Linked DNA regions of Drosophila melanogaster. The protein of the gene in region 2 purifies or fractionates together with the protein of the main gene of each other region. This does not show direct contact. Each region holds a gene or a part of one and is shown on either strand. Other genes may lie near its edges.

Region 1 (3,588 bases), about 11 Mb from region 2:
ATTCTGCTGAAGTCACTGACCAGCCTGCCGCACACGGATTTCGTGATGGCCAAGTGCCTGCTGCTGCCCCAGCAGATGAAGGACGAGAATGTGCAGACAATCATCGACCTCGCCGACATACTGGAGCGGGCGGACTTCACCCTCTTCTGGCAGCGGGCCGAGGTGAACCGCAACATGTTCCGCCACATCACCGGCTTCCACGATTCAATTCGCAAGTTCGTCTCGCATGTGGTGGGCACCACATTCCAGACAATTCGCAAGGACCTGCTTAAGGAGCTGCTCGGCGGCATCGAGGACTCGACGCTGGAGAGCTGGATCAAGCGCAATGGCTGGAAGAACCAGGGCCAGGGACTCGTCATCGTGGCCATGCAGGACGACAAAATCAAGACGAAGAACATTACGGAGAAGATCGAGTTCGACAACGTGGGCGCCCTGATGGCCCAGTGCCTGTAGGAACCTCATTCGCGTTCATAGTCCTTGTCTAAATTTTTACGAATAGTAATTAACGGAAAAAAAATAATAATAAAAGCCTGTCCGTACAGCTAAATTACTTTGTGGTTTATTCTCGATCGGAGCTGCTCGCCAGGCTGCTCCCACTCATATGATCAGACTTCCAGAACTACCGACCTTAAAACGTACACGTACAGAACTAATAAAGCGCTATCCTATTTATGACTGCTTCTTGAACTTCTTTAAAATGGGGAATATCTTGTCGAAGGCATCGTAGATCTCCTGCCGCACCTTTGCTCCAGTGAGCACCACCTTTCCGGACACGAAGATGAGGAGCACGATTCGAGGTCGCACCATACGATAGATTAAGCCGGGAAATAGCTCAGGCTCGTAGCTGCTGAAGTTGCAATGGGTCAGCACCAGGCCTTCCAAGCGTATGGGGAACTTGACATCGCAGGAGCCGACCATGTTTTGAATCTTAAAGTCGAGGAACTTTGCCTGCGGGAGAGAAAGCGTTAGAGATTCGCCGGGAAGAGAAAGGAAATGTAAAGTCTTGTCTTACAGGGAAACCGAGCTTTTGGATGATGCGCGCATACTTTCTCGCTGCCAGTCTGGAGTCGTCCTCACTCTTTGCCCCTGTGCACACCATCTTGCCGGAGCTGAAAATAAGGGCGGTGGTCCGGGGCTCTCGGATTCGCATAATCACAGCCGCAAATCGCTTAGGATTGTACTCGGCGTTTCTCGCATGCAATGCTATTTTCTTGAGGTCCAGTTTGCAGCACAGATTAACCGTGGACACGATGTTCTGAAGTTGTGGCACAATACCGGGATCAGCGGAACCTGGTGTGGCTGGTGTCATCGGCGTGGAGGGGCCCATCGTCTGGTGGATGTTGCTCAGGGCATCTCCGCCACCTCCGGCCCCCGAACCGCCCACACTCCGCTCACTCATGGGCATCATGTGGGCCATCATGCTCTGCGGCGTCTGCGGCTGCATCATGGACTGCGGAGTGCTCCCACCGCCGCCGGGCGCCTGACTCTGGAGCTGCTGTTGCTGCTGCTGCTGCTGATAGGAGGCCGATGGCTGGTAACTCTGCATTTGTTTGTGCGCCAGCGGGAGCGATGGTTCGTGGCCAAAGAGACCTGATCCCCCACTGGCGTCCGACTGCTGTTGCTGCTGCTGGTGCTGCACGGAACTGGAACCGGGTGCCGGCATCAACGAATCCGGCTGCGATACAGCCGGAGGATGGTACACAGGATTGGCCACTATCTGCTGGTCCGCTTCCATCTGGTGGAGCGGCGTTCCGATGCTCGGAATCGAGAAGTTGGGGCTTAGCATTTGGTCCATCTTACAGATGGTTTATTGTGGACTCCGGTGAATTTTTCAGTGACTCAATTCAAGATTGCTGAACGGGCTCAACTTTGGGTTTTAATTGCATACCCACAGAGCGGGAAATTAATTTAATAGTAATAATAATAATAATGTAATGCAACCGCGTTCGTCGTTGTACCTGTGGCTCGTTTTGTGAGAATGGCAAAGTCAGCGCTGCATTTTGCCGCAACTATCGATAGCTGGCTGGGTCTTACGTTTATCGTTACGTTCTTAGCATTTAAGTATTTCATTGAAAATATGTATGAAAATAATTATAACAATAATTATCTTTGATTGTATTTTAATGTTTAGTTAAAAATCACACTTCAACGTTTCAAATATTTCTTATACGTTAAATCTCTCCCTTACGTTGTTGCCAATCGATAACTAAAATGGCGCACTTTTCAAAAGAATCAAGTATACTTTGTTGTACTTCTGTTTAATAGCTAAATAATTTGTGTATAAGGTGAACAAAAGAAATAGCGAATAAATAATAGTGCATAATACTTAGAAGGAAAATGGTTATTCTCATCTATGCAGTTTCAGCAATAGATTTTCGTGGGCGTGAACTGAAAAACGATGTGTTAAAAATTAATTAATTGGAACTTTTGCACTTGGAAAGTGCAATTAAATGGTTATTAAACTAATTAGAAAAATGAGAACGCCGCCCATGCTGAAACCGAAGGTTGAATAGGCCAAACTTGTGACAGTTGCCGTTGAGGAATGGGTGTAAGTATTTCCGTGCTCATCGGTGTAGGAATGCTGCCCACTTGAGGGTGAGTTTTGGAACGTTCCTCCCATTTCGGGCACTGTGTAGGGTCCTTCGTTCTGACCCCGTATGTAAATGCCGTTTCCAGGTGTGCCGAACTCATGGGGACCATTTCTTCCATCATAATTCTGCTGCGCATTTGTCACTGGAGAAAAATAGAGAGAGAGTGTTGAATGGATGTGGCGGTTCTAGTGGTTCCCACACTTGACTTACCGGCAAACAACAGCGTGCTCACTATGAAAACAAGTAAAGTACACGATCTCATGATGCAGTTTCCAGTCACTGAGCTCAATTTCAACTGAGAGCGGCTCGGTAATTTACAATCTATTTATATAAACCGATAGAAAGACGAGCTTTTTGCCAATTAGCAGCTGAGAATGGGTAATGTCAAATGTTGAGCTTTCCTTGTGCGACAAACATTACAAGCGACAATGTACCAATTTTAAAATAGAACTACCCTATTGCCAATATCTAGCATTTTGCGCATGCCTTTACCCAGGAAATGAAATTTTTAATTTTAGTTCATCAGCTTGGGAAGAGAAGGCAGGCAAAAGAGAGTGCAGCAAATAGAGATTTTTGTGCATATATAGACTCCGAGAATCGTTATATAACATGCACTCAAAACAAACGAAAAAACGCGCAAATCGGGCGACAGTTCGAAACTACAAAAGACAAGGCCTGAAAACTAAGCTACTAGCGCCAAAAACAGAGTAGGTTTTCCAAAGAGTGTGAAATAGTTTGGAACCCAAGACAACCAAATTCAAGTGCTGCAGAAGTAAACACTTAATAAGGGCGACATGGAGAAGGTTTGTCAGTTTTTCCGCAACAACTACGTGCTGGCCAATTGCGAGGATGCCATATACAAAAAGGCATTCTCCCTGAATCTGTCCCACTACCAAATCTCCGACGTTCCGGGCATCATAGAGAAGTGCGAGACGCTGATGAAGCTGTTCCTCAACCAAAACAAGCTAACAAAGGTGGCACCTGGTGCACAAGATAG
Region 2 (4,853 bases):
TGGCTCTTGGCAAATACGGCTTTTAGCTTCATCTCCGTGTGGGAGGGAACTTGCGAAACGATCTCTGCGCAATCTGCTCCGTAAATATGCATCCCCAACTCTTGGGCTACGGCGCTCACAAGCTTTGATTTGCCCGATCCTCGCTCGCCTTGCAGGAGGAACACAGGAAATATGTGCTTTGACGACAGGCAGGCGGACTTTTTTGGCAGGAAAGCATCTACTGAGGAGCGCAACAGCTTATAGGGCTTTCGAAGTCCACTTGGATAGTTCTCAACGATGGCCATGCTGTCAAGCACTTGACGAGGCAGGAAACTGTGAGATGCAGGCACTTGAACAAGGTTGCTAAAGTTTTTGGCAACAATCGCTTGCAGCTCGAACTCGCTGCCCTTTGTCTCCAGGTGAATACACTTTAGGTGGACGTGGCGTAGGTGAGCGAATATCAGGTAATAGTGGGCATAAGTCGCAGTGCCCACCAACTCTGCGTTCACCTCGATGCGGTAGGTATGTCCACGATGCATGAGTCGAGGTGTATTGAAATAGTTGCTCAGGATGACCTCTGTCAGTTCGGCGGGAAGTTCATGGGGATCTGCGACTAAGTACACATGTGCTTTGGTTGCTATTCCAGGTATTGTCTGCTCATCGGCAAAATGCTCTACCTGCACCCAGCAGTTGGAGCGGATTTGAAAGCGATCCAATATGTTGCCGTAGAAGTTCTCCTGAAATTTTACACGATGTAGAATTATAGAAAATATTCCATTTATTTAGAACTAGATACCCACCTGAACGTACAGACAATTGGGTTGGCACTGTGCAGCCGGCAAGATCTGGGCCACAATCGTATGCGGCGCCTCCTGGAGCATTTGCTTGATAACCGTTTGGGTCATATTTCCTTCGTCTGAAGCTAGCGGCTTACCGATTCTTACCCTCCTGCCGCGGATAACCAAGTTGACAAAGTTGACGTCCGGCGATTCCGCATAGTTTTCGTACACCTCCTGACTGGCGAACACCAGGTGCTCCGACTTAATCTGCTCGTTCTTGATCAGCAGATCGTAGAGGCGGTTCGGAATGGGGGTCAGCAGAAACTTGCCCTTGTAATATTTGGCGTAACGCCAGTATACGGCGTATGTCAGATATCCGGGGTAGAGGAACCAGGGCCACTTGGGCGCCAGCAGCTGTATGGCCGAATTGTAGCCCTCGACTAGCTCCTGTACTCTCCCAGAGAAGCTAAATCTCGGCTGTCCTGGATCTTGTTGATCGAACGACACCGAATTCCGCTTGCCGACGACTTTTTTCTGCGGGAATTGATCACGATATTAGCTAATATGGCTTAAATGTTACATATGGACCTACCGCATCATCATTTTCATTCATTTTTTACAATAAATATGGACTAAACACAACAGAAAGCACGAGTACAAGGGTTAATTTCGAGGAGGCGGTGTCAAAGTTCAAGGAGTTGGGGGATAGGCGCCAGACAAATACACTGAAATATGCAATGGCAAGTTAATTCTGTTAATGCACAGCAAATTATTACCCTCTGCTATAAAAATTAGCTTGTTTATTTGGCCAGTTACTTTGTATTTTACCTTTTTCACAATTACTCTCCTCTTCATTACGAATGTTTTGATTCTGGTAAGATATTTGCTCAAAAAATACTAAAAGTATTCAGTCAGCTGTCCACAGTAAGACCTTTATAAGCACATCTTCAAATAATTTCTTTGACCTGCATAAAAGTTAAATATTAATTTTGTAGTAAAATGAAAGAATGAAATATGTCATTATATTTTAAGTAATTCCAAAAATTGGCAAAAAGATATAATTTATAATGTATTAATACAATTTATTTTTAGAATCCGTCTTCGCTAGTGGCTACTGTATATTTTGACTGTACTTGGTGCATTTTAGTATATTTCATTCTCCACTTGGCCGTTTTCAACCGATGCCAACCTGGTCACACTTTTCCACGCATAACAAAATAGTACACAAGTTCCATATATTTCAATTTTCCGCGAAAATGAGCCTGGAAGTGAGCAATATAAACGGGGGAAACGGTACTCAATTGTCCCACGACAAGCGTGAGCTGCTGTGCCTGCTGAAACTCATCAAAAAGTACCAGCTGAAGAGCACTGAGGAGCTGCTCTGCCAAGAGGCGAATGTGAGCAGTGTGGAATTGTCGGAAATCAGCGAAAGTGATGTTCAGCAGGTGCTGGGCGCAGTTTTGGGAGCTGGCGATGCCAACCGGGAGCGGAAACATGTCCAATCTCCGGCGCAGGGTCATAAACAGTCCGCGGTGACGGAGGCCAATGCTGCAGAGGAACTGGCCAAGTTCATCGACGACGACAGCTTTGATGCTCAGCACTATGAGCAGGCATACAAGGAGCTGCGCACTTTCGTTGAGGACTCCCTGGACATATACAAGCATGAGCTGTCCATGGTTCTGTACCCAATTCTGGTGCAGATCTACTTCAAGATCCTCGCCAGTGGACTAAGGGAGAAGGCCAAAGAATTCATTGAGAAGTACAAATGCGATCTCGACGGCTACTACATAGAGGGTCTTTTCAACCTTCTTTTGCTGTCTAAGCCCGAGGAGCTGCTGGAGAATGACCTCGTAGTAGCCATGGAGCAGGATAAGTTTGTCATTCGCATGTCCAGGGACTCGCACTCTCTGTTCAAGCGACACATTCAGGATCGCCGGCAGGAAGTGGTGGCAGATATTGTTTCCAAGTACTTGCATTTCGACACATACGAGGGCATGGCGCGCAACAAGCTGCAGTGCGTCGCCACCGCGGGCTCGCACCTCGGAGAGGCCAAGCGACAGGACAACAAAATGCGGGTGTACTACGGACTGCTCAAGGAGGTGGACTTTCAGACTCTGACCACTCCAGCGCCGGCACCAGAGGAGGAGGACGATGATCCGGATGCCCCGGATCGTCCGAAAAAGAAAAAGCCAAAAAAGGATCCCCTGCTGTCGAAAAAGTCCAAGTCGGATCCGAATGCTCCATCCATCGACAGAATTCCCCTGCCGGAACTGAAGGATTCGGACAAGTTGCTAAAGCTTAAGGCTCTCAGGGAAGCCAGCAAGCGTTTAGCCCTCAGCAAGGATCAACTGCCCTCTGCCGTCTTCTACACGGTGCTTAATTCCCATCAGGGCGTAACCTGTGCCGAGATTTCAGACGATTCCACGATGTTGGCCTGTGGATTTGGCGATTCTAGCGTGAGGATTTGGTCATTGACGCCCGCGAAGCTGCGTACGCTGAAGGATGCAGATTCCCTTCGCGAACTGGACAAGGAATCGGCGGATATCAATGTGCGTATGCTGGATGACCGAAGTGGTGAGGTAACCAGGAGCTTAATGGGTCACACCGGACCCGTATACCGCTGTGCCTTTGCCCCCGAGATGAACCTGTTGCTCTCATGTTCCGAGGACAGCACCATAAGGCTGTGGTCTCTGCTCACCTGGTCCTGCGTAGTCACCTACCGCGGGCACGTTTACCCGGTGTGGGATGTTCGCTTTGCGCCGCATGGCTACTATTTTGTTTCTTGTTCGTACGACAAAACTGCTCGTCTGTGGGCCACGGATTCCAATCAAGCGTTGCGCGTATTCGTGGGTCACTTGTCGGACGTGGATTGTGTACAATTTCATCCCAATTCCAATTATGTGGCCACCGGTTCTAGCGATCGCACGGTACGCCTGTGGGACAACATGACCGGTCAGTCGGTACGCCTGATGACGGGCCACAAGGGATCGGTGAGTTCTCTGGCCTTCTCCGCCTGCGGCCGGTATCTGGCCTCGGGTTCAGTAGATCACAATATCATCATCTGGGATCTGTCGAACGGATCCCTGGTCACCACCCTGTTGAGGCACACTAGCACTGTGACCACGATCACCTTTAGTCGCGATGGAACAGTCCTGGCTGCAGCCGGCTTGGATAACAATCTAACTCTGTGGGACTTTCACAAGGTTACCGAAGACTATATCAGCAATCACATCACTGTGTCGCACCATCAGGATGAGAACGACGAGGACGTCTACCTCATGCGTACTTTCCCCAGCAAGAACTCGCCATTTGTCAGCCTGCACTTTACGCGCCGAAATCTCCTGATGTGCGTGGGTCTATTCAAGAGTTAGGAGCACAGATAAGCTTATTTGGTATACGTAATGTAGTGTTAAGGAATGCTCGGAATGTTTAGGATTAATGTTTTGTATTTCGTTTGTGACCCATCCCCCCTGAAATGTCGATTAGTTGTTTAAGCATAAAAGTGTAAAGTGCATATATGCGCAAGTTATCAATAAATTTTAATTAATATAAAAGTCAATCATTAAGGTTCTTATATATAATTCATATTTATTTAAAAGTCATATAAAGCATATACACAGATAAATACGTAGCTGTACGATTTGCCTACTCTGCATCAGGGATTCCAAACGTTCGGCGCACGGCTATCGAGTTCTTGATGTTAAAGATCGCACAGCGCGGAGGCTTCTCTCCGCCGAAGGCCAGGGTGTAGGGATCCTCGGGGCACTGGCGCATGCACTGCAAGCGACCCATGTTGAACTCGTGCTCGTAGACGTGCTTTGCCTCTGTGCCATCAAAGTTCCACACCTTTAGGGTGCCCTCCGTGGAGGTGGAGGTCAGCAGATTAGGCTTCTGGTTGTTGAAGCACACACCGGAGATTTCCTCGTTGTGGGCCTTTACGGACCACAGCAGTTGTCCAGGAGAACGTTTGTCGGCGTAATGCAAGGTGCCATCGTTGGTGCCCACGATGAAGTAGTCGGTCTGTGTGGGATGCCACAGGACCTTCTCCACTTCACCGTCAACTTTCCACTCAATGCTGGACGAGTTGACGCCCTC
Region 3 (4,608 bases), 2.1 Mb from region 2:
AGACTGAGACAAAGCCAGCTTTTTGCTCGAATTGTTGCCACTGCTATTTGCATTGCTGACAACGCTTTTGGCCGCCTTATTCGTTGCCGTTGTCGTTGTTGTTTTCGCCAACGTTGACAACTGCGACTTTTGTTGTGTGTGAGCCATTGTTGTTGTTGCTGTTGCTTCTGCTGTTTGCTTTGTTGTTGCTGCTGCCGGCTGTATTGCTTTCGATTCTGGCGTCATCATAGTAATAATACACTCTCGCCGCTAAAAATTCGCTTTTGTTTTTCGCACAAGCGTCAATCTGCAAAATAGATAATGCCAGAAGTTAAAATTAAATGCGAATAAAGGAGCGCATGGAAAATGTGAAATGGAAAATGTAAATCGACTCGAGAAGAGAGCGTGCTGAAGATTATAAATAAATCAGACGCTGAGCCGCAGAAAGCAATAAGCCGAAGCTATATCGGTATAGCCTCGTTGGTGCGCGAAGAAGCTTAAAGCTCCACTCGCCCCTCGCTGTTTACGATAGAATAATGGAGGCAAGGGAAATATACACTTTCTGGGAAAACTGGTAGAGTTAATGAACTCGGTGGGATCGTATTTTTCCTCACTGCAATCTTCTCTTTTGCATCATTCTTCGTGAATCAGTTTTAATATAGTTGAAATGGTGATAAAGTTTCTACAGTGATCGTCATAAGAGATCTGTTCAGAAAATATTTTAATGATGTTGCCAAGTACGCTGACTCAATATAAATGATCAAAGACAAGAACTTATTAAGTAAAATAAACAAATATGTTGTTGCATGAACATCGAAACTTAAAGATCATTTCAATTTTTAGAGTTTAGTGAATATGCTTTGACTTTAATTTGTTAGAGAACGCTTTAGCTCAAAGAAATCAAAATGCATTTAACTCAGACATGATGTCCCAAATTAAAGCTTGTGGGACTTGAGCAGTAGACAGAAAGGAGTCGCAATCTGGCAGCTATTATTTGCAATCAGTCGATGGATGTGGGGGCCCTCGATAATGGATGTTGTAGTTGCCATGGGAATGCCTACGTCGAATATATTGAAATGCACAGCACTTTTGGGATCAAAAGAGGGGGGAGCAGAGTTGCACAGGGGTGCTTTGTTTTATTATGGATGGAAGGGTGGAGGGGGGAGAGTGAAGAGTGCCGAGTGGAGTTTTAACCAGATGCCAAGTACATCGAAAGTGGGGGGCGGATCTGTGGGGGCGTCGAACAAAATGTGTATTTCAAACAACTTCAAGTTGTTTTTGCATCAACGCGCCAGTAAAAAGTCAAGGTACATACGGTAAACTTTTCGGAAAAACTTTTTCAACTCCGGGGGCACACAGAATATGGAAAATTATATTTGTGTACAGAAAATATGGCAATGGAATATGAATGACTGTATATGGGAGAGGGCGAAAAGAAATTGCCAGCAGGCCTCTTTAAATCCTTTTTACATCACTTTTAAGTGCTGTGCGAAAAGAGGAACCCTTCTGTTGGCCCTTTCCCTTCTTATTTTACCGAACCCATTCCATTGCCGTGTTTAAAGTCTCAGGGATTCTCGCGCGCGCAAAAAAATGTGAGTGAGTACCAACATGAAAAGGATAATAAAAAAAAAAGCAGCGGAATTTCTTATTTGTGTGTGGTGTGCGTGTGTTTATATGCTCGCGTATGTTTGTGTGTGTGTGTGTGGGTAGGGATGCGAAGGGATGTTGAAAGAAGGGAAACGCGAGACTGTGACAGGGAACAGAAAAAACAACAACCCAGCGAAAATTCGGAGAATGCAGAACCGAGACTGCGGCTTTATCTCCTCTTTCACAAGCACGCACACACACACACTCGCATATTGCTTTCATTCAAAGAAACAAGTACATAAACATAAAACAAAAAACGTTGCTAAATGAAAGAGCAGTAAAAAAAAATCAGTCACACACGCTCATATTCTCATGCTCCCCTTTTTCAATTGCCGTGTGTCCAATCGAAATTCTTACTTGCTGGGACAAAAGGAGAAAGAAAGAGAGGGGGTCATCAAGAGAAAACAGAAGAGGGGCTGTGGTTGGTGGGGGGAGAGCGCAACAGCTGCCGGTCGAGAGCAGTGTTGATTAACGCCAATCATGTACCTTTGTATCCAATCTTTAATCCACTAATAATCCAGCCAGTTAATTGGCATCGCGGTGGTCGCCTTGTATACATAAATAATCCAATGGCAAGAGGAATAATCCAAGTAAATAATCCACACTTGAGTTTTGAGTCAGCGTTTCTGCTTCTCTTTCTTCACTATGCTCCACTTCACTTTTATTTTATTTTATTTTCTTTCTACTTCTTCACTTCGCCTGCACATTCAAACCACACCAACACGCGCTGGCACTTTCGGCTGCTCTGCTTTCGCGGGCACCTTTATTGTGTATTATGCTTTGCTCTATGTTTTCTGCCCCACACACACACAAGCGCGCGCGACGTACATAAGCCAGCAGACGTAGTTGTGTTGTGCTTCTGTTGTTGCTGCTACGGCATTTGTCACACAAAGGAAATTGGCTTCAGATTGCTTTTTTATTATTATTATTATTATGCAACTGAAGCTTTGAGCTCTGGTTGTAATATAAACACATGTTTCTTGTTTCGTTATTTATAGTGGTCGCTTCACTCTGTTTGGATAGCGATAAAGCAGGAGTATCGAAACAACCGACCGCACACGTCCGTTCGCTTTGAGAGTTTTTGTTCGACTAACGACCACGCTGCTTTTCGTTTATGTACTGCTGCGTTGCCCGCTATTTACTCTCTCTCGCATACACACACTTATATACCAGGCCAAAGACAGGTAGCCAACTGCTCTGGGCGAGTATCTTTGTTTTCTTTTTCGTCGCTCGCACACTGATCGTCCGTCTCGCTCTCGCCGGCCTCTCACTGGGCAACAAGTCAGCTATCTCTCTTGCACGCGCACTCGGCTCTTTTGTTGTTCTCGTTGCGGGGCGTCGTCGCTCTGGCTCGGTCTCTCTCGTTCGCTCTGTAATCTTTCCGCACAGCGTCGACGAACCGCTCTCGTTGAATGTTGGTGTTGCACTAAAACAGGCGCTCTTCGCTGACTCTGTTTTTCGGTCGCCACATCGTCGGTCGCTGCCGCTGCCTGCGTCGACGCCGACATTGACGTCGGCGTTTGGCTCTTTTCTTTTGCTTTGCCAGCCGTTTCTTTGTTCGTTTCTGTATGTACAAGCGGAAAATTGAAGAGGGAGGGGGATAGAGAACAAAGGGCTGCACATAAATGGCAGAGGTTTTACAACTCTTACGGGCTCTTATCCATCTGCAAACACTTCGGAATACATAAGACCATGTGCAATCAAGGTAGAATGAGTGCCTATGTAATCGCAACTTGCAATTTCCGTCAGCAGAAATCGCATATTTGCACGTAGGCGTACGTCTATATCTGCACCCCTCTCGCTCCCACGCTATTTAATGCCTCCAAATTGGAAATGCTTTTTGCTTCTTTTCCCTTGCCTTTTCCTTTTTTCCCCCACAGAAGTGGCAGCAACAGCAACAACCACAATGTGAGCGCGAAAGAGCTCTCCAATCAGTGGCAGCCAACAACAATAAAAGCAGCAACTTCGTTTCCGTCTTGGCGAATTAACCGTTAGACTGCTCTACGTAACGTAACAATGCAGATCTAACGGATAAATTGCGAACGAAGGAACCGTACCATGACGATACTTTCCATGCAAATTAACACCATTATTATCATTGCCGTGGGAGTTAAGAGTTTATTTTGCATATTTTTATTTATAATGATCCTATCCTCTAAATAGTAGCGTACTCACCCAATACTATTCTGAAGTCTTCGAAGTTCGCAGATCAAAAAGTCTAAAGATTTTTTCTTTCAGTTTTATTGCAGGGAAAACTTCTTTTTAAAATTTTTTAATTTCTTATTCATTTTCCATTCTATTATAATACTTTTATTGATTGGTTTGCCCACAGTAAAATCGGAGATGTCAGGAGGTTTTAAATTAATATATTTCTTATTATATTTCTTATTCTTATATTTCAACCATTTCTTAAACTAGCCTTAATAAATTACAAAATGTTTTTAAAGTTTCATCCCAAACAATAATAAAGATTGATTTTTATTCTCATAGAAGAAATACAGTAGTAATCTTAGAGTATATTAAAACTGTAAAAATATTAAAATTTTATATTTAAAAGTTTGATAAGTACACAATTGTAAAAGTACCCTTCAAGCCAAACAACTAAAATTATCATTGAATACATAACATTTAAATGTTATTATATTTTTCAATCAACAAATATTTTTGTTTTGTCTTAGTTTGTTTCCAACTTTTTTTTAAGTTCATGTTACTATAAAATTGTTTACCGATCGGACCTTATGTCGAAAGCTTGCATTTTATTGAAAATGTGCTTTTTGGTCTATTTTTAGCCTTTTGTATGAATCGTCTAGACAAAATATGCACTCAAGAATTGTCTTTGCGTGAACTTTTACGGAATCATAATAGAATTGCATTCTGTTATCATATCTTTCACAATAGTGATGGTCAAAAAACCCCAATGAATTTTAATTTAAGTGGTGTTTTAGGCAGGGATTTGTTTTTTTTTTGTAATCACTCCAGTAA
Region 4 (4,670 bases), on a different chromosome or scaffold from region 2:
GACTGCTGATAGAATGTCTTGGTGGCGTCGTATTGCATGGCACTTCGATAGTCGCCGTAGCCACCATAACCCCCCGCCCCAGGGCCAGAGGTGGCGCCAGCGCCCGCTCCTGCTGCTCCGCCATAACCACCCTGTCCGGCGGCCACAGCGGCATTCTGATAGGCGGCCGCATTCGCGTAGGTGGCATTGGTTACCGCCGGGTACGAGACTTGGCCCGTATTGTACTGGGTGCCGCCGTAGTTAAACCCGGCGTAGTTGTTGTTGGCCATTGTCGCGGTGCGCTGCAATTACGAAAATCGAATTTGTTTGACAATCTGTCTGCGGTTTACTAGTTTACCATTGGCATTTGCATTTGCATTTTGGACCTGCCCCCATCCCCACCAAGTGCTCTACTTACATTAGCTGTCCTATCCGACTGACTGTCAATATTTATGGGACTTCGAATGCGGATTTATTCGGGAATTTATATGTGCTTTCCGAGTAATAGCCTGTTTATAGCTGTAAAAGCAAAGTGGTCTTAGTCACGTCATGTTGAGAAAGGAGCTCCCCCCACCACTTTCCCATCCGTTTTTCATCTGCTTTTCTCTATCGATTTTTACCCCGCAGCTTTGGACGCACTTTTCGCGTGTCTGGCCCACATGCGAGTGAGCACACGTGGCGATCTCTTTTCCAACGGCATTTTAGCCCTAGTTGTGCATGGTTAAAAAACAGTTAATGCAAATGGCAATTACCTGAAATCGGTTAAATAAAATTTTTCTTCCGTCTCTATGGGCCGGTACTAGTGTGACCGCAGCGTAATCGGATAATCATACTATGTTGAGCCCGACTTGAAACAAATACCACTTTTTATTTTTGGAAGTTTTTGGAAAATATACCATTACACTATATATGTTGCTTATTTAACGGAATTTGTTTAATATTAAAATTGGTATGGTCTATTTTATTAAGACCGCTATTTGTACGATATGTATTTAACTCGCTCTACAGAATTATTTTGCCCGTTGTGCTGAAGTTTAGCATTTCAAAGATACCGAAAACTAACAAAAATACCATCACGTTGGTGGTGGGGCATGTAGTTCGGTATCAAAGTGGAACTATCGATTGTTTGACCGTTACAAAGTACTACTCCTTCGTTTGAATATATATATGATTTAAGTATATGAGCAAATAGCGTTTAAATATAAAAAAATAATAACATTTTTGAGCATTTTCTTCAATTCTGTAATTACCTAACATTCAGCTTTAAACAGTACTCTAATAATAGTTTTAGTAGTTTCTAATTTTTGAGCGTATTCTTCATTTATTCAATTACCTAACATTCAGCTTTAAACAGTACTCTAATAATAGTTCAAAGGATTTAAAATGTATCGTATTCGAATGTATTAAAATAAATTATTTTGATCCTTAAAAATTGTGGCTTATTACCCATATAAAAACTAATGAGCATATAATTAATTTGGTATGCGGCTAAAATCCGATGGCATCAAAATGCCAGCAAACGTTTTTGGTTTTGAAAATGTACGCAACAAGGCTATAAAAAATCGACATGATATCCAAGTCACTACTTCTTTTCTAGTATTTTAATTCGGTATCGCGTTTAACACGACGATATTGTCGCCAACGGTCACACTGCACAACTCGTCCGTACCTCGGCGGTCCGTAAACAATATTTACTCGGTTTTCGGCTAAATCGCCAGAGAAACGCAACGGGAAATCGTTTAAAATGCGCCCCAGTGCACCGAGTTTGAACGCAAAATGAATTGAAGTGAGTGCATCTGCCACAGGGCCCAGAAAATTTCCCCCGACATTGCAGGCTGTACAAAACCTATACTGAAACACACGCACACAGTCGCACAGACACGGACGTGGGTTTATGCCACCACCCGCTGGCCACTAAAGTAGAAATTACTAATACTACGGCTGGCACGATGCTCCATATTGCCACTGGAGACATGTACAAGATGCATTTGTTTTCTTTTTGTTTTAAATATTTTTATGCGGATTTTCGAAAAATATGAATTTTTCCTAATAGAAATCATCAATTATTAAGTGCTCCACTTTCGAGTTGAACTTTTTTTTAAATTTAGTGCATTCACGAATATTGCGCACTCGCCACCCGCATAAACGAGCGGCATTGCCAGATCGTTGGTTACGTGTTTTTCGCACGCTATCTGGCAACGTCCACCAGCCTCGATTTTCGCTTTGCACGCGCATTCGTGAAAATGGCGGCGTTCTGGCACCGTCGCTGCCAAATTTTTTGTACATCAAAATAATCAAAATAAAGCATTCTTCCAGTGCTCAACAATCAGTCCGTGCGAGCACGCGCGAGTGTGTGTGTGCGCAGGAAAACCCGCCGATCGGGAAAAGTGTAGAAAGGCTTAGCGGCGCAAACAAAAGGCAGCGAATTAGCGAGATAACACACACGCGACAACGACTGCAACGGATGCGCCAGGAGAAAGGCCGACGACAGTGACGGCAAAGGCGAGTGCGAGTGAGCCAGCGCAGCACCAATTCAGCGGAGCACCCGCTTTTTTGGCCAAGGTGAATGCGATTACCTGTGCGCGGCATCCAGGTGTACGCAGCATCTGGTTTATGGCGCACGGCCGCCAGGTAGCCGGCGGTCAGGTAGCACCTCCACCGCCTACCTGTTTCTCCACCGCCTCGAGCCGAATCTTGTATAAATACTAAAAGCGCCTCCCCTTGCATTGCAGTTCGCTTCTGGAGCGCACAGCATGCAACAACTCCGCCAACACCAACACAGGATGTGCGCAACTAGTTGATCGGAACAGGATCGCTCGCCCACACCAACACACAGAAGTCAGTGGAATAGGAGAAACACACTCGCCAATAACATAAACACCACACAGCACGATGAACACCAGCCAGACAGCTGCCGGCAATCGCATCACCTTCACCAGCCAGCCGCTGCCCAATGGCACCATCAGCATAGCCGGCAATCCCGGCGCGGTCATCTCCACGGCCCAGCTACCGAATACCACCACCATCAAGACGATCCAGGCGGGGATCGGTGGTCAGCATCAGGGACTTCAGCAGGTGCATCATGTCCAACAGCAGCAGCAGTCGCAACAGCAACAACAGCAGCAACAGCAGACGCAATCCGTAGGTGCCACCCAAACACAAACCCTAGTTATTAAATCCAACCACCATGCTGTCACCCTGCCGGCGGGTCTAGTCTCAAGTGCACCAGCAGGAATCGTAACCATGACCAAGACCATCAATCAGGTATCCATATTAAAGCTAAACCCACTCTTCGGGCGCTAGGCGATCGCAACTCGGGCGTATCACTTCGTCCAAATCTGATCCCCAATCAAAACCCCCTCAATTCCTCGCTCGAATCGGATAGTAGTGGCCGCACACACTTTGGTTGTATACTTTTATTATGCTTTCATCTGTCTACCTCGCTGCCCGAAATTCCCATATCCTTATCCAAATGGGGTTAGTCCCAGGCTTGATAACGTATTTTACGCTTAAAAAATATCCTTAATTCATTAATGTGAAATCTGAAACTTATATCTGAGTTGAAATCTGAAACTTATATCTGAGTTTGTTGCACTCATTTTTGTACTTTTATTTAAAATTAATTTCTTTTTTTACGAATGTCATATCAATTCACTTCATTAGAACTTAAAGCAGTTTAATCACCATAAAAGACATATCTTTAATTTGAAATACTTTATCCCAATGCCGAAAAGTTTCCCAAAGATCAAATCCCTAACAACTGTTCAAAAACACGCACTTGTTCAACAGAAACCTTATTCTACACCAATATCCAAACCATTACATTTGTAGAACTATTGCTTTCAATGCTCGCTTTAAATAGAACAAGATATAGTAGATTATACGCCTTCAAATTTGGTTAGCACAGAGAGAATCAGTTAAACAACTTATTTCCGCACTAATTGGGGTCCTTTGCCGAGCCAACTGCTGCATGATGTAGGCTAATTTAGAATCCCGCAAAACCTCTTAATGCATCCTTTGGTCCAAATAGACTTTGAAAATGTGATGAGATGAATTGATAGACTAATGATAATGTTGCGTATTTGCCAGGCCGGTCAACCGCTGCTCAATTCAATGCTGCCGGCTGGCGTGGTGGTGGGCATGCGCCAACAGGCGCCGTCACAGCAGCAGCAGAAGAATGTGCCCACCAACCCGCTCAGTCGCGTGGTGATCAACTCCCACATGGCGGGCGTGAGACCGCAGAGTCCATCGGTGAGTATGAAGGATAATATTGCTATTACTATGGTTGTTGTGGTGGGTTCTTCCCTACTAACTCACAGAGCTCCCTAACCCAGCCACGCTCCTCACAAACACGCATGTGCACAGCCCACCATTCACTCACACCATACACCATACACACCATGCTCCAGCAGATGAAAACCGAGTCTCTCTGTCTTCTCTCTCTACTTTTAGATAACTTTAAGCACACTTAATACGGGTCAGACCCCGGCATTGCTGGTCAAGACGGATAACGGATTCCAGCTGTTGCGCGTGGGCACGACGACGGGTCCGCCGACGGTGACACAGACTATAACCAACACCAGCAATAACAGCAACACGACAAGCACCACAAACCATCCCACAACCACACAGATCCGTCTGCAAACTGTGCCGGCTGCAGCTGTAAGTAGATACCAACAACAACAACAACA

The links.
Region 1: the proteins of Taf5 (region 2) and Tbp purify together in Drosophila melanogaster (affinity purification with western blotting; 4 studies listed by BioGRID). This does not show direct contact.
Region 3: the proteins of Taf5 (region 2) and Psc purify together in Drosophila melanogaster (affinity purification with western blotting, with the first as the bait; one study listed by BioGRID). This does not show direct contact.
Region 4: the proteins of Taf5 (region 2) and Taf4 purify together in Drosophila melanogaster (affinity purification with western blotting; 3 studies listed by BioGRID). This does not show direct contact.

The regions. Positions count from the first base shown.
Region 1 is NT_033778.4:21,685,658-21,689,245, forward strand, and holds Tbp (TATA binding protein), read right to left. Parts: upstream 1,986-3,588; 5' UTR 1,796-1,985; coding exon 1,013-1,795; intron 949-1,012; coding exon 670-948; 3' UTR 535-669; downstream 1-534. Other genes in the region: eIF3k (eukaryotic translation initiation factor 3 subunit k), read left to right, coding at 1-453; BaraC (baramicin C), read right to left, coding at 2,447-2,733, 2,802-2,853; CG10307 (uncharacterized protein), read left to right, coding at 3,386-3,565. UniProt on the Drosophila melanogaster protein: General transcription factor that functions at the core of the DNA-binding multiprotein factor TFIID.
Region 2 is NT_033778.4:10,876,767-10,881,619, reverse strand, and holds Taf5 (TBP-associated factor 5), read left to right. Parts: upstream 1-1,946; 5' UTR 1,947-2,014; coding exon 2,015-4,129; 3' UTR 4,130-4,308; downstream 4,309-4,853. Other genes in the region: Pex6 (peroxin 6), read right to left, coding at 1-716, 780-1,292, 1,587-1,613; nclb (no child left behind), read right to left, coding at 4,404-4,853. UniProt on the Drosophila melanogaster protein: TFIID is a multimeric protein complex that plays a central role in mediating promoter responses to various activators and repressors. May play a role in helping to anchor Taf4 within the TFIID complex.
Region 3 is NT_033778.4:12,977,936-12,982,543, forward strand, and holds the start of Psc (posterior sex combs), read right to left. Parts: upstream 3,060-4,608; 5' UTR 2,113-3,059; intron 287-2,112; 5' UTR 229-286; coding exon 1-228. UniProt on the Drosophila melanogaster protein: Polycomb group (PcG) protein. PcG proteins act by forming multiprotein complexes, which are required to maintain the transcriptionally repressive state of homeotic genes throughout development.
Region 4 is NT_037436.4:16,111,601-16,116,270, forward strand, and holds the start of Taf4 (TBP-associated factor 4), read left to right. Parts: upstream 1-1,611; 5' UTR 1,612-1,765; intron 1,766-2,189; exon of another isoform or gene 2,190-2,284; 5' UTR 2,285-2,541; intron 2,542-2,707; exon of another isoform or gene 2,708-2,711; 5' UTR 2,712-2,871; coding exon 2,872-3,243; intron 3,244-4,068; coding exon 4,069-4,230; intron 4,231-4,431; coding exon 4,432-4,670. Other genes in the region: Zn72D (Zinc-finger protein at 72D), read right to left, coding at 1-269. UniProt on the Drosophila melanogaster protein: TFIID is a multimeric protein complex that plays a central role in mediating promoter responses to various activators and repressors.